Macaca fascicularis: one gene and its partners. The protein of the gene in region 2 interacts with the protein of the main gene of each other region in a pairwise test. Links are inferred from orthologs where the notes say so. Each region holds a gene or a part of one and is shown on either strand. Other genes may lie near its edges.

Region 1 (3,647 bases), on a different chromosome or scaffold from region 2:
CGCCGGGGGCGGTGTGTACCTGCACAGCCAGAGCCAGCCCAGCTCGCAGTACCGCATCAAGGAGTACCCGCTGTACATCGAGGGCGGCGCCACGCCCGTGGTGGTGCGCAGCCTGGAGAGCGACCAGGAGGGCCACTACAGCGTCAAGGCTCAGTTCAAGACCTCCAACTCCTACACGGCGGGCGGCCTGTTCAAGGAGAGCTGGCGCGGTGGCGGCGGCGGCGACGAAGGCGACACGGGCCGCCTGACGCCGTCGCGATCGCAGATCCTGCGGACTCCGTCGCTGGGCCGCGAGGGTGCCCACGACAAGGGCGCGGGCCGTGCTGCCGTCTCAGACGAGCTGCGCCAGTGGTACCAGCGTTCCACCGCCTCGCACAAGGAGCACAGCCGCCTGTCGCACACCAGCTCCACCTCCTCAGACAGCGGCTCGCAGTACAGCACCTCCTCCCAGAGCACCTTCGTGGCGCACAGCAGGGTCACCAGGATGCCCCAGATGTGCAAGGCCACGTCAGGTGAGAAGGGGCGGCCGGGCGCACGTGGGAAGGCCTGGGGGCGAACTGCTCGCTGGTGTCAAGGGCTGCTGCCGGGAGGTACCCTTAGAATTGGGTGCAGTGAGGAACGAGTGTCATTAATTCTGGGAACCCTGCTGTCAGATGCGGGAGACTTGAGGTCTTTCAGGCCTTTGTTGACCCCCCACCCCGCCCCCGCCCTGTTCTTACCCTAATCTTGCATGTAAGGGTGCACTTGATCCTCCAGAGTACACTGGGCCAGCCCCCCCATTTCTCCTTGTAAGGACAGAAATCTAAGAAACTTAGGTAATGTCTCCGGGTTTATCCAACCAAAGGTGAGTCTTTTACCCTAGTGAGGAGAGTATTCCAGTGAAAGCCCACAGCTGCAGCTTGCAAAGGAAACTGGGTTGGGGATGGGCTTGGGTCAAGTCTAAAGATTTGGCCAGTGTCTCCCCAGATGGGGGCAGACTGGCTAATAACCAGAGTGCCAGAGCTGGGCGTTTGACAGAATTCTTGACTGCTCCTGGCTTTCCCTTTTCGATGATGATACGCCACAGCCACAAACTATATTTTTGTTAAGTGTCTTTAATATCCTTGATGGTATGTCTGAAAATTTCCCTCATATTCTTGTAGTCAAGAGCATTGGGTGGTATTGAATCAAGTTTAAAAAAAAAATGGAAGAAACCACCCATTCCTTTAAGTTACATTTAATAACAGTGACACTGACCAACATGAGCAATTGCCTTGTGCTCTGGTTACAGCACTGGCTTATTAACATATTCTTACCACTCAGAGAGGGACACTGAGAAGAACAGAAATGGTAAACATTGTAAGAATAAAATGAGAGTCAGAAGCAAATGGGAGGAACTCTGAGTCAGGAATTTGGCAAAGATCAGGGGAAACAGTGACCTGAGATAATGGGGGGGTTCATCTTTGGGGAACTGGAGGAAATTCTTGGTGCCTGGAGACAGCAGGGCAAAGAGGAAGAACCTGGCTGCCCAGGTGAGCCAGGCTCCGGCATTCTATCCCCACATCCTGGTGGACATGTTTATTAGGGTCCATTGGCCAAATGACAAGCTCCAGAGATCAGGCAATAGTGGGTGTTCCGTGGACTTCAAGGTCCTAGAACCTTCTTTATGCTCCTTCTTCACCTGTAAAATAGCCCAGTGAAATTTGCCATTGACTCCCCAGGAAGATCTTGAGTATGATCATCTGTGACCCTATTAGATTAAGAACCAATGTGTTGTAAATATCTCCAAACAGGAGGGTTCATGTTCTATCAAAATTGCAGCACTTGTCTAGTAGATTTGCTTTATGTAAAGAGATTAGGTAGATCTTTTGGAACATATTTTAGACTAAAATTTTTAAGAAGCTGTATTTGAGGTTTACTGATGGAAAACATTCCATTACCAAAAAAGCAAAGGATGCATTTAAGTAGGATTGACTTCCTACTAAATCTTTCCAACTGGACTTCCATACTGCCTACATCAATAAATGCCTAGTGCTCAGGTTTGGATGAGCTATTAAAAGCCCTAAAAGCCCTGCTCCCTTCAAACTGTACTACAGTAGCAATGATAAGCCTGAAACAGCAGAGAGAACAGGCTCTGAGAACCTTTGTGGATGCCCTCTCTTCACAATGGAGAGAAACAATTTCACAATGGGGCTACACTGAAAATGCCCTGGGGCCAGAGAAATATGTCATCCCTGTATGAGCCCTGCTCAGGTCTCACTCAAAGGACTATGTGGACATCAGGTTCTTTGCTGCTGTTGAAGCTGTCACCATCCCTATGGCCACTTCCTGGTGGCAAAGTGGGGACCTAGGATCCCAGGTCAACTTGACTCAGAATGAAGGTGCATGGTAGTGGGGAGAAAATAGAATTGGTGGGATGCAGAGATGGTTCCCCACTGTGACCATGCCATAGGGATGCCAAGACCCTGCCCTGGGGTCCTTTCCAGTATCCCTGGAAATGGTGACCTCTGGCCACTGGGTTGGTGTCGGCCAACAGGTCACAAGCTCCTCCACCTATGTCTGATCCCTGTCTGCTCTCTGCCTTTCTTGCACCACCTGCATATAGCTGCCTTACCTCAAAGCCAGAGAAGCTCAACACCGTCAAGTGAAATTGGAGCCACTCCCCCAAGCAGCCCCCACCACATCCTAACCTGGCAGACTGGGTGAGTTCTCCTTCCATGTTCTTCACTGTGTCAGCTCGAAAGAGTGTTGTAGATATTCAGATCCTAGTGACATAAGGATAAGTCAGTAAATGGACGATGAGCGTTCGTCACTGGGAAGTGTCTTCAAGAGAAGTCCCATGATCCGCTGTCATCTCTGCCTACTCCTTTCCCTGGCTGTGCCTTTATAGAGGTGAATTGTCTGTGTTCTCTTAAAGTAGACGGTGGTCCTTGGGATGTGGGGAGATGGAAGCAGGAAGTGGGACTGTGCTGCTTTGGTCAGATTTCCAGACAGCATTTGATTTCAGTTGGGATTGTACCCAGGCACGAATGTCAGGGGGAGAAAGAGAGCTGAAGACAGCAAATACCCTGAGAGGCAGGTGAAACGGCCACTGTCTTAGGATGTCTCAGGATGCAAGAAAAAAGGCTATGTCGTGGCCAAGCACTTGCTCTTTATCAACACACAAAGGAGATCAGGCGCCCTGAAGCCTTCAGCGGAAGCTGTACACAGCAAAATAAATGAAACCGACAGGCGGCTCTTTTGATAGCCTGACGAGTTCGCCTACAGCATTATCATCTCGGGGCCAGTGAGGCTGTTCTGACCTAGTGGAGGGTCTGGCAGACACAGGTAACCCACCTGGCCCTACAGCACCTGCCTCTTCTGTTGCCCCTGAGACATCACTCTAAGTAGATGTTAGGTTCTGTCAACATCTGTTGGTTAGAGGAGTAAGGAGTCCCCTTCCTCGGTTTGTCTGGTTCCTGGTTTGGTGGAGCATCAGGGGGATGTCTGGGAAAATCTGACAACTGGCTGTGAGTTGAATCATGAGAAAAGCACAATTCCAGAATTGGCTCTAATGCCTGCCTTTCAGGCTCTCATACTTGGCCGTTTTTTTTTTTTTTGAGATGGAGTCTCACTCTGTTGCCCAGACTGCAGTGCAGTGGTACAATATCAGCTCTCTGCAACCTCCA
Region 2 (3,747 bases):
AAACAAAAAAGGCTGGGCGCGATGGCTCAAGCCTGTAATCCTAGCACTTTGGGAGGCCGAGGCGGGCGGATCACGAGGTCAGGAGATCGAGACCATCCTGACTAACAACGGTGAAACCCGTCTCTACTAAAAATACAAAAAAAAAAAAAAAAAAAAAAGAATTAGCCGGGCGAGGTGGCAGGCGCCTGTAGTCCCAGCTACTCCAGAGGCTGAGGCAGGAGAATGGCGTGAACCCAGGAGACGGAGCTTGCAGTGAGCCGAGATAGTGCCACTGCACTCAAGCCTGGGCGACAGAGCGAGACTCCGCCTCAAAAAAAAAAAAAAAAAAAAAAAAAAGAGTTATAACGGTGTTCATAAGAAGAACTACAGACCCCAGAGCTCTCAAATCGCTGGAAGGACTTCTGCGGTGGGCCTGTGCATGATGCACAGAGGACAGGTGGGAAAGAATCACAGACACCTAGTAAGACAACGGGGCATGGCTTTGTCCCGGTTTCAGAGCACCGACACATTTAGTCACCATTTACCTTCCTGGGAGGTAGATTAGGCAGGGGGCACACTAGCCCTGCTTTGTAGGAACAGAAGTAGAGTCTCAGAGAAAACAAGTGACTTGCCCAAGAAGCCTTATTAAGTACCAGCCAGGACAGTGTATTTTCTATTCCTTGTGTTTTGGGATAACTTAGTACCGTCCCCTCCGATGAACCAGTGCCTGCAAAAGCCCTTGAGATCTGGGAAACAGGAGGCACAGATCTTGGAGTTTACCTTGTTCTTAATCAGTCCTCAGGCAGTCGCCTCTAACGCGAGCGAATACCCGCTTCCCGAGGCCGTCACTGGGCAGAGGAGGGGCCAGGCTCCGGATCCCAGATCCCCTTTCCCCGCCCCGCCGTGCCACGCCTGCGCGGGCACGGCCGCCCGCCCCCAAACCCCTCCCGCGGAACCCGCAATCCTGCCTGCGCGGGCGCGGGACTGCGGGCAGGGGGAGGGGCATCGCGGCGCGTCCGTTGCTAAGGCCGCGCAGCCCTAGCGACCGAACGCCCTGCGGCGGCCGCGCAGGCGCTGTGGTGGGCTCCGGTGCACTGTGGGATGGAAACCGGAGCGGCGCGTCCTGGCGGGACCGGGCGGCGGCGGCGGGGCCGGCGGCGGCCAGGGACCCGGGCTTAGGCTCGGCCGGGCCGGCTGAGGACGCAGGCGGCCAGCGGGCGGCGGGCGCCGTCATGAACGCGGCGGTGGTGAGGCGGACGCAGGAGGCGCTGGGGAAGGTGATACGGAGGCCGCCGCTGACAGAGAAGCTGCTGAGCAAGCCCCCGTTCCGCTACCTGCACGACATCATCACGGAGGTGGGCGCCGGGTTCCGGGCCCGGCCAGGTGCGGGTCGGGGTTCCGGTGGGCGCCGAGGTCAGGGCCCAGGCCGGGTGGCGCCGGGTGCGAGCCGGGCTCGGGCTCAGGTGCGGGTGGGGGGCCGGGGCTGGGCCAGAGTCGGGGCCCGGGCCGGGTGTGAACCCGGTGTGGGCCGAGCTCGAGGTGCAGGTCGGGGACCCGGTCAGCGCCGAGTGTGAACCGAGTGTGGGCCGGGCTCAGGGTGCAGGTCAGGGGCCGGGTTAGGGCCGAGTGTGGACCGGGTGTGGGCCGGGCTCGGGGTGCAGGTCGGGGACTGGTTCAGGGCCGGGTGTGGGCCGGGCGCAGGGTGCGGGTCGGGGACCGGGGTGAGTTCCGGGGTCGGGGCGAGAGCTCTGTGCGGCCCCTGCCCGGGAGCCCGGCCTGTAGGCCCAATTCCGCGGCGCCCTCCACGCGGAGGTCCTGCCCCTCCCCCGGCTCCGGGCCGCCGCTTACAGGGAGGCTCCGGGCCCTCGGGGACCATTACTTCTTCCCTGCCTACCGTGTGTCTCCTTAGTGCATCTTCCATTCTGCCTGGCAGAGCTGCTTCTGTGACTCCCACCTCATCTAACCCTGCAGAACCCTTCTCACTTTCCCTGAAGCATTTAGCACGTGAAAGGCTAAATCCTGGGAGAATGGAAATAATATTTTTTATACAGCCTTCTGCCCCGAAGTTTCCCTCCATACCACATTTTGGGTGCTTAATAAATGCCTGTGGGTGAATTTAGTGGAGGTGGTGGTAGGGAGACTTGGCAGGAAAAACTAACAGAGCAGCACACCCTGCCCTAAATTGAGATTGGTGGTCTCTGTAGCTTTTCCCCATTTGCAGATGGTGTGCTCCTCAGTGACGGAGACCCTGGCTTGCTTATTAGTATGGCTCTGGTGATCTGCAGTGGGTAAGGTACATAGAAATTGCACAACAAACATCCCCTGTTGAGTGGGACCTGTCAAGGCTTGTGGTAACTCCCTGGTAACTCTTAGGAGCGTCACTGCGGGGGTTGCAGCACCCATTTCCATGGTGGACCCAAGGGCACGTGGGAACTCAGAGGTGTGTTTTGGGATTTAGGATTCAGGTTGGACTTGCAGACTTCCAGGGCCTCATGACCTCACCTGGTGATGGTCCTCAAGCTCTGTTTCTCACTCTTTTCAACAGATTGGGTGCCTTATTCTTGCACAGACTTTGCTTTACTGGGTCTGCCCTCCTACCTTAGCTTAAACTTGTGGGCTGGAGCGTGTGCCTCTGTGTTAAAACAGTGCCTAAAAATGCTCTCGAATCCACCCACATCCCGAGGCACTGCCAGCCCTGGTCACGTCCTCCCAGCTGGTGCAGCACTTACAGCCTGTCCTGGACAGTGTGTGGGGAGGGGACCTGCTGTGTGGATAGCCCGGTGGGAGCGGAACAGTGTGCCGCATCACCACTGTCCCATGAAATAGGCAGGTACCCGTCCTCTGACCGAGAGGGAACAAGAGCCAATGTGAGCCCAGCCAGCTATAGCTGTGGCTGCCAAAACCTTTATTCTCCCAGTCCTGTCTGCCCCACTGAAATGCAGAGCCCTGAAATGCAGAGGGAGGTGCAGGGAGTGTGCCTTATCCTTGTGGGGCAGTAGTGGCGCTCAGCTCACGGTGGCTGTCCAGTCACTACCACATGGTTGGTCAGAGGCATCCTAATGGGAGAGGAGGAAGAATATGGGCTGGGTGCTGTGGCTCACGCCTGTAATCCCAGCACTCTGGGAGGCCAAGGCGGGCCGATCACTTGAGCCCAGGTGTTCAAGACCAGCCTGGCCAACATGGCAAAACTCCATCTCTACTGAGAATACAAAAATTAGCTGAATGTGGTGGTGCACCTGTAATCCCAGCTACTCAGGAGGCTGAGTAGGGAAGATTGCTTGAGCCTGGAAGGTTGAGGCTGCAGTGAGCCGTGATTGTACCACTGCACTCCAGCCTGGGTGACAGAGTAAGACCCTGTCTCAAAAAAAAAAAAAAAAAAAAAAAAGGGGATTGCTTTCCTGGCCAGGTAGATAGGGTGCGTGGAACGAGCTGCGTGTTCCCAATTAGGAACTACTGGTCTGCTCTTCTCCCATAGACTTCCTCATCTAATGCCAAAGTTGATTTCTGTCCCTGTGTAAAGATAAATAAATTGTCACCTACTTGATAAAGATGTTAGAATGACTGACACATTGGAAAGGATTTTCAGATAATAGATGGGGAGCCTCTCATGAAAATGCCTTGCTGTCCTGAATATTATACACAAATTACTATATTAGTATTTTAGCTATAGCTAAACTAACCACCCCGTTTCATTAAGCTAAGTGTGGATCCTGTGACGTTAATGTCTCTTGTCACTTACAGTTATTGCTCACAATTTTTTTTTTTTTG
Region 3 (3,647 bases), on a different chromosome or scaffold from region 2:
GTCATTGCTGAGAGTGTCCTTTTTGTTCCTTCCCTACCCCATCATATTTTTCCCACGAGTCACCCCATCATGTCTGCGTGTGTATCCTGCCTCTGCAAGCATGTCTGAGTTCGCAGTTCTGAGCCTACAAGGCTGTGGGCTTACAGGCAAATCCATGCCACTCACGTCAGCTCCTGCAGCTTGGTGCTCTTCTCATGTTCTTCACTCTTCAGCTTCTCGTAGTCAGCCTGAAGCTTCTCTAGCTCTAACTGGAGCTTCTGATTTAGGCTACAGAGCATCAGGAGGTAATGGAGAGGGGGGGAAAAAGATGTTAATGAGGGGGAAGGGAAGACCAGCTCTTCAAACATCTTCCTTCTTGAACGAGTCCAGTTAGAATTGATGTGTCCAGTTTCAGATACCAGGGGCAGACTCAGGCCACCATCTCCATGACAGAGCCAGGAACCCTGACCTCTCTAACCCTGGGAGCCTCAAGGATAGGGACTAGTCCTTATTCCATGTATCTCCTGAGGTGGGGCTACAAAGTTGTGGCATTGTTGAGGGAATGACACACGGATGTTAAAGAATCAGATCCAGAGGGGACATGTGAGTTGGCACAGCAAGGTGACAGGACTGGGAGGGGCTGGAGTCGCCCTTGGGAACCCTTACTCTTTGAGCTCATCAATGGTCTTCTGCTTCTCGTTGATCTCATCCCGGAGCCGGGCCAACTGCCGGTGATGGGCCTCCCGGTGACTCTCCATCTGCAGCTCCAGAGCCTTCTGCAAACAATCCCACCCCAAGCTCAAAGGCCAGACTCCCAGAAACAAGCTCTGTGAGAGCCAGCACAGCTTTCACCACACCAGGCCCCAACTATCCCTGACACCTTCCCCACTCACCTTCACTTCATCTGCATCCTGGGTATCAGGTTCCTTGTCCTTCAGGGCCACTTCATGCACAGTTTCTAAGGGAAAGAGGGGAAGACACCTGACATCAAACCTACTTCTTTCAGAAAGAACTTCATGTTGTGACCAGAACTCCGGGAAGGACTGGGGATGGGCCCACAGGGGTGTTCTTCTGTGTTAGGACTGTCCAATTTGATATAGCAGGAACAGAGAACAAGGGTGTATGGTTCATGTAAAATGAGCTACATGCAAAATCTTGGCTAATATATGAGTTGGCATCCATGATTTCAAGCTAATGCTTTGAGTGAGTGATCACTGGGGTGATTTCTTTTGATGTTTCTGACTTCTCTGCCCTGGATGGTGGGATGGAGGAGTAAGAAGGCCTCACCCTGGGCCTGGAGCTTGGCCAGCTCGTCACTCAAGGAGTCATAAGACTCTTCCAGGTGCCGCTTCTTTAGCTCCACGCTCTGCATGTATTCCGTAAGTGAGCGGATCTTGGCCTCGTGCTGGTGGGAGAAAGTTGGTGAGAGGAAGAAGATGGAGCAAAGAACACAACTCCAGGCCGCACAGATCTCCAACCCCAGCTCTGCTCGCAGCCCTCCCTCCTGCTACACTTCCTATGAGGGTGCAGGGTTGGGGGCCATTCCTATGGGGCTCTTCCTTTAGCTCCCTTGGCTCAGGAGGCAGTACCCGCCCTGAGCCTTTACTTTTTTGGCCCTGATCTGCACCCCTGCCACCCCAGCTTTTCTGTCCTTGCTTTCACTTGACCCTAGAACTTTGACCCCAGAACTTTTGACACCCACCTGGGTGTTAGGAGTTTTAGCCATAACCCCAGAGTAGCCTTCTTTCTCCCATGGCATCTGAAGGTTCTCAAACTTAGGCACTCACCTGAGAGATGAGGAGCTGGCAGGATGAGAGCTCCCGCCCAGTCACTTCCATCTTGCGGTGACATTCCACCTGGAGGTTCTCCAGCTGCCGGCACCGCTTGACCACAGACTTGACTTCTGACTTGATTTTGCTGATGTAGAGTCGGGCCACAGTGAACTCCTCCTCGATGGCCCCACTGATCTCCACTGGCTAAGGGTGAGTAAAGGAGGAAGAGATGCTTCTTGGCTGCTGGGAAGCTTTATCCGTTCCCTCCCACCTTTTACCTACCCACACACACCCACGTATGCAGGGACTCAAATGGGATTGGTATTTTCCAAACGACCTTTAGCAGCTCTCTATCACTGGCATTTCACGTTAAATTCCTCTGCCCGCATTTAAAAATCCAAGTCTGTCTGGGTGCAGTAGCTCACGCCTGTAATCCCAGCACTTTGGGAGGCCGAGGTGGGTGGATCACCTTGAGGTCAGGAGTTCAAGACCAGCCTGGCCAAAATGGTGGTGAAATCCTGTCTCTACTAAAAATACAAAATTAGCCAGGCATCATGGCACATGTCTGTAATCCCAGCTACTCAAGAGGCTGAGGCAGGAGAATCGCTTGAACCCAGGAGGCGGAGGTTGCAGTGAACTGAGATCACCACTGCACTCTAGCCTGGGCGACAGAGTGAGACTCCATCTCAAAAAAAAAATTCAATTCTGGGCTGGGCTCAGTGGCTCATGCCTGTAATCCCAGCACTTTGGGAGGCCGAAGTGGGTGGACTACAAGGTCAGGAGTTCGAGAACAGCCTGGCCAATATGGTGAAACCCTGTCTCTACTAAAAATACAAAAAATTAGCCGGGAGTGGTGGTGTGTGCCTGTAGTCCCAGCTACTAGGGAGGCTGAGGCAGGAGAATTACTTGAACTGAGGTGGCGGAGGTTGCAGTGAGCCAAGATAACACCACTGCACTTCAGCCTGGCCAACAGAGCAAGACTCTGTCTCAAAAAAAAAAAAAAAAAAAAAAATCCAATTCTGACAGTCCCCCACTTATAAATAAATCTTATAAAGCAACATGATTTTATTTTGATCTGCTCAATCACCCAGATTATTCTCACACCCACAGATTTGCATATTTCATTCTTAACTCTGTATCTATGCCCCACCTCTAACTGCTGCTGTAAACACTGCTCTGTTGCTACTTCTTTTTATTATTATTATTATTTTTTTTTTTGAGACGCAGTCTCGCTCTGTTGCCCAGGCTGGAGTGCAGCGGTGCATCTCTGCTCACTGCAAGCTCCGCCTCCCGGGTTCACGCCATTCTCCTGCCTCAGTCTCCTGCGTAGCTGGGACTACAGACACCCGCCACCATGCCCGGCTAATTTTTTGTATTTTTTTAGTAGAGACGGGGTTTCACTGTGTTAGCCAGTATGGTCTCGATCTCCTGACCTCGTGATCAGCCCACCTTGGCCTCCCAATTATTATTATTATTATTTTTTTGAGATGGAGTTTCGCTCTTGTTGCCCAGGCTGGAGTGCAGTGGTGTGATCTCGGCTCACTGCAACCTCTGCCTCCCGGGTTCAAGCGATTCCCCTGCCTCAGCCTCCCAAGTAGCTGGGATTACACGCATGAGTCACCACACCTGGCTAATTTTGTATTTTTAGTAGACACAGGGTTTCTCCATGTTGGTCAGGCTGGTCTCGAACTCCTGACCTCAGGTGATCTGCCCGCCTCGGCTCCCAAAGTGCTGGGATTACAGGCGTGAGTCACCGTGTACAGCCTCATTTTTTTTTTTTTTTTTTTTTTTAAGACAGGGTCTGGCTCTGTCACCCAGGCTGGAGTGCAGTAGCTCAATCATGGCTCACTGCAGCCTCAACCTCCCATACTCAGGTGATTCTCCCACCTCAGCCTC

What was found.
Region 1: the proteins of TRAF3IP1 (region 2) and FRMD4A interact in a two-hybrid assay, tested with the Homo sapiens proteins (2 studies listed by BioGRID and IntAct). The link is inferred for Macaca fascicularis from reciprocal best matches to the Homo sapiens genes TRAF3IP1 and FRMD4A.
Region 3: the proteins of TRAF3IP1 (region 2) and KIF5A interact in a two-hybrid assay, tested with the Homo sapiens proteins (2 studies listed by IntAct). The link is inferred for Macaca fascicularis from reciprocal best matches to the Homo sapiens genes TRAF3IP1 and KIF5A.

The regions. Positions count from the first base shown.
Region 1 is NC_088383.1:14,582,689-14,586,335, reverse strand, and holds part of FRMD4A (FERM domain-containing protein 4A), read left to right. Parts: coding exon 1-512; intron 513-1,200; exon of another isoform or gene 1,201-1,660; intron 1,661-2,584; coding exon 2,585-2,681; exon of another isoform or gene 2,682-2,744; intron 2,745-3,647. UniProt on the Homo sapiens protein: Scaffolding protein that regulates epithelial cell polarity by connecting ARF6 activation with the PAR3 complex. Plays a redundant role with FRMD4B in epithelial polarization. May regulate MAPT secretion by activating ARF6-signaling.
Region 2 is NC_088386.1:134,235,031-134,238,777, forward strand, and holds the start of TRAF3IP1 (TRAF3-interacting protein 1), read left to right. Parts: upstream 1-1,055; 5' UTR 1,056-1,211; coding exon 1,212-1,334; exon of another isoform or gene 1,335-1,362; intron 1,363-3,747.
Region 3 is NC_088385.1:64,384,599-64,388,245, reverse strand, and holds part of KIF5A (kinesin heavy chain), read right to left. Parts: intron 1,956-3,647; coding exon 1,767-1,955; intron 1,385-1,766; coding exon 1,267-1,384; intron 938-1,266; coding exon 873-937; intron 756-872; coding exon 646-755; intron 268-645; coding exon 166-267; intron 1-165. UniProt on the Homo sapiens protein: Microtubule-dependent motor required for slow axonal transport of neurofilament proteins (NFH, NFM and NFL). Can induce formation of neurite-like membrane protrusions in non-neuronal cells in a ZFYVE27-dependent manner.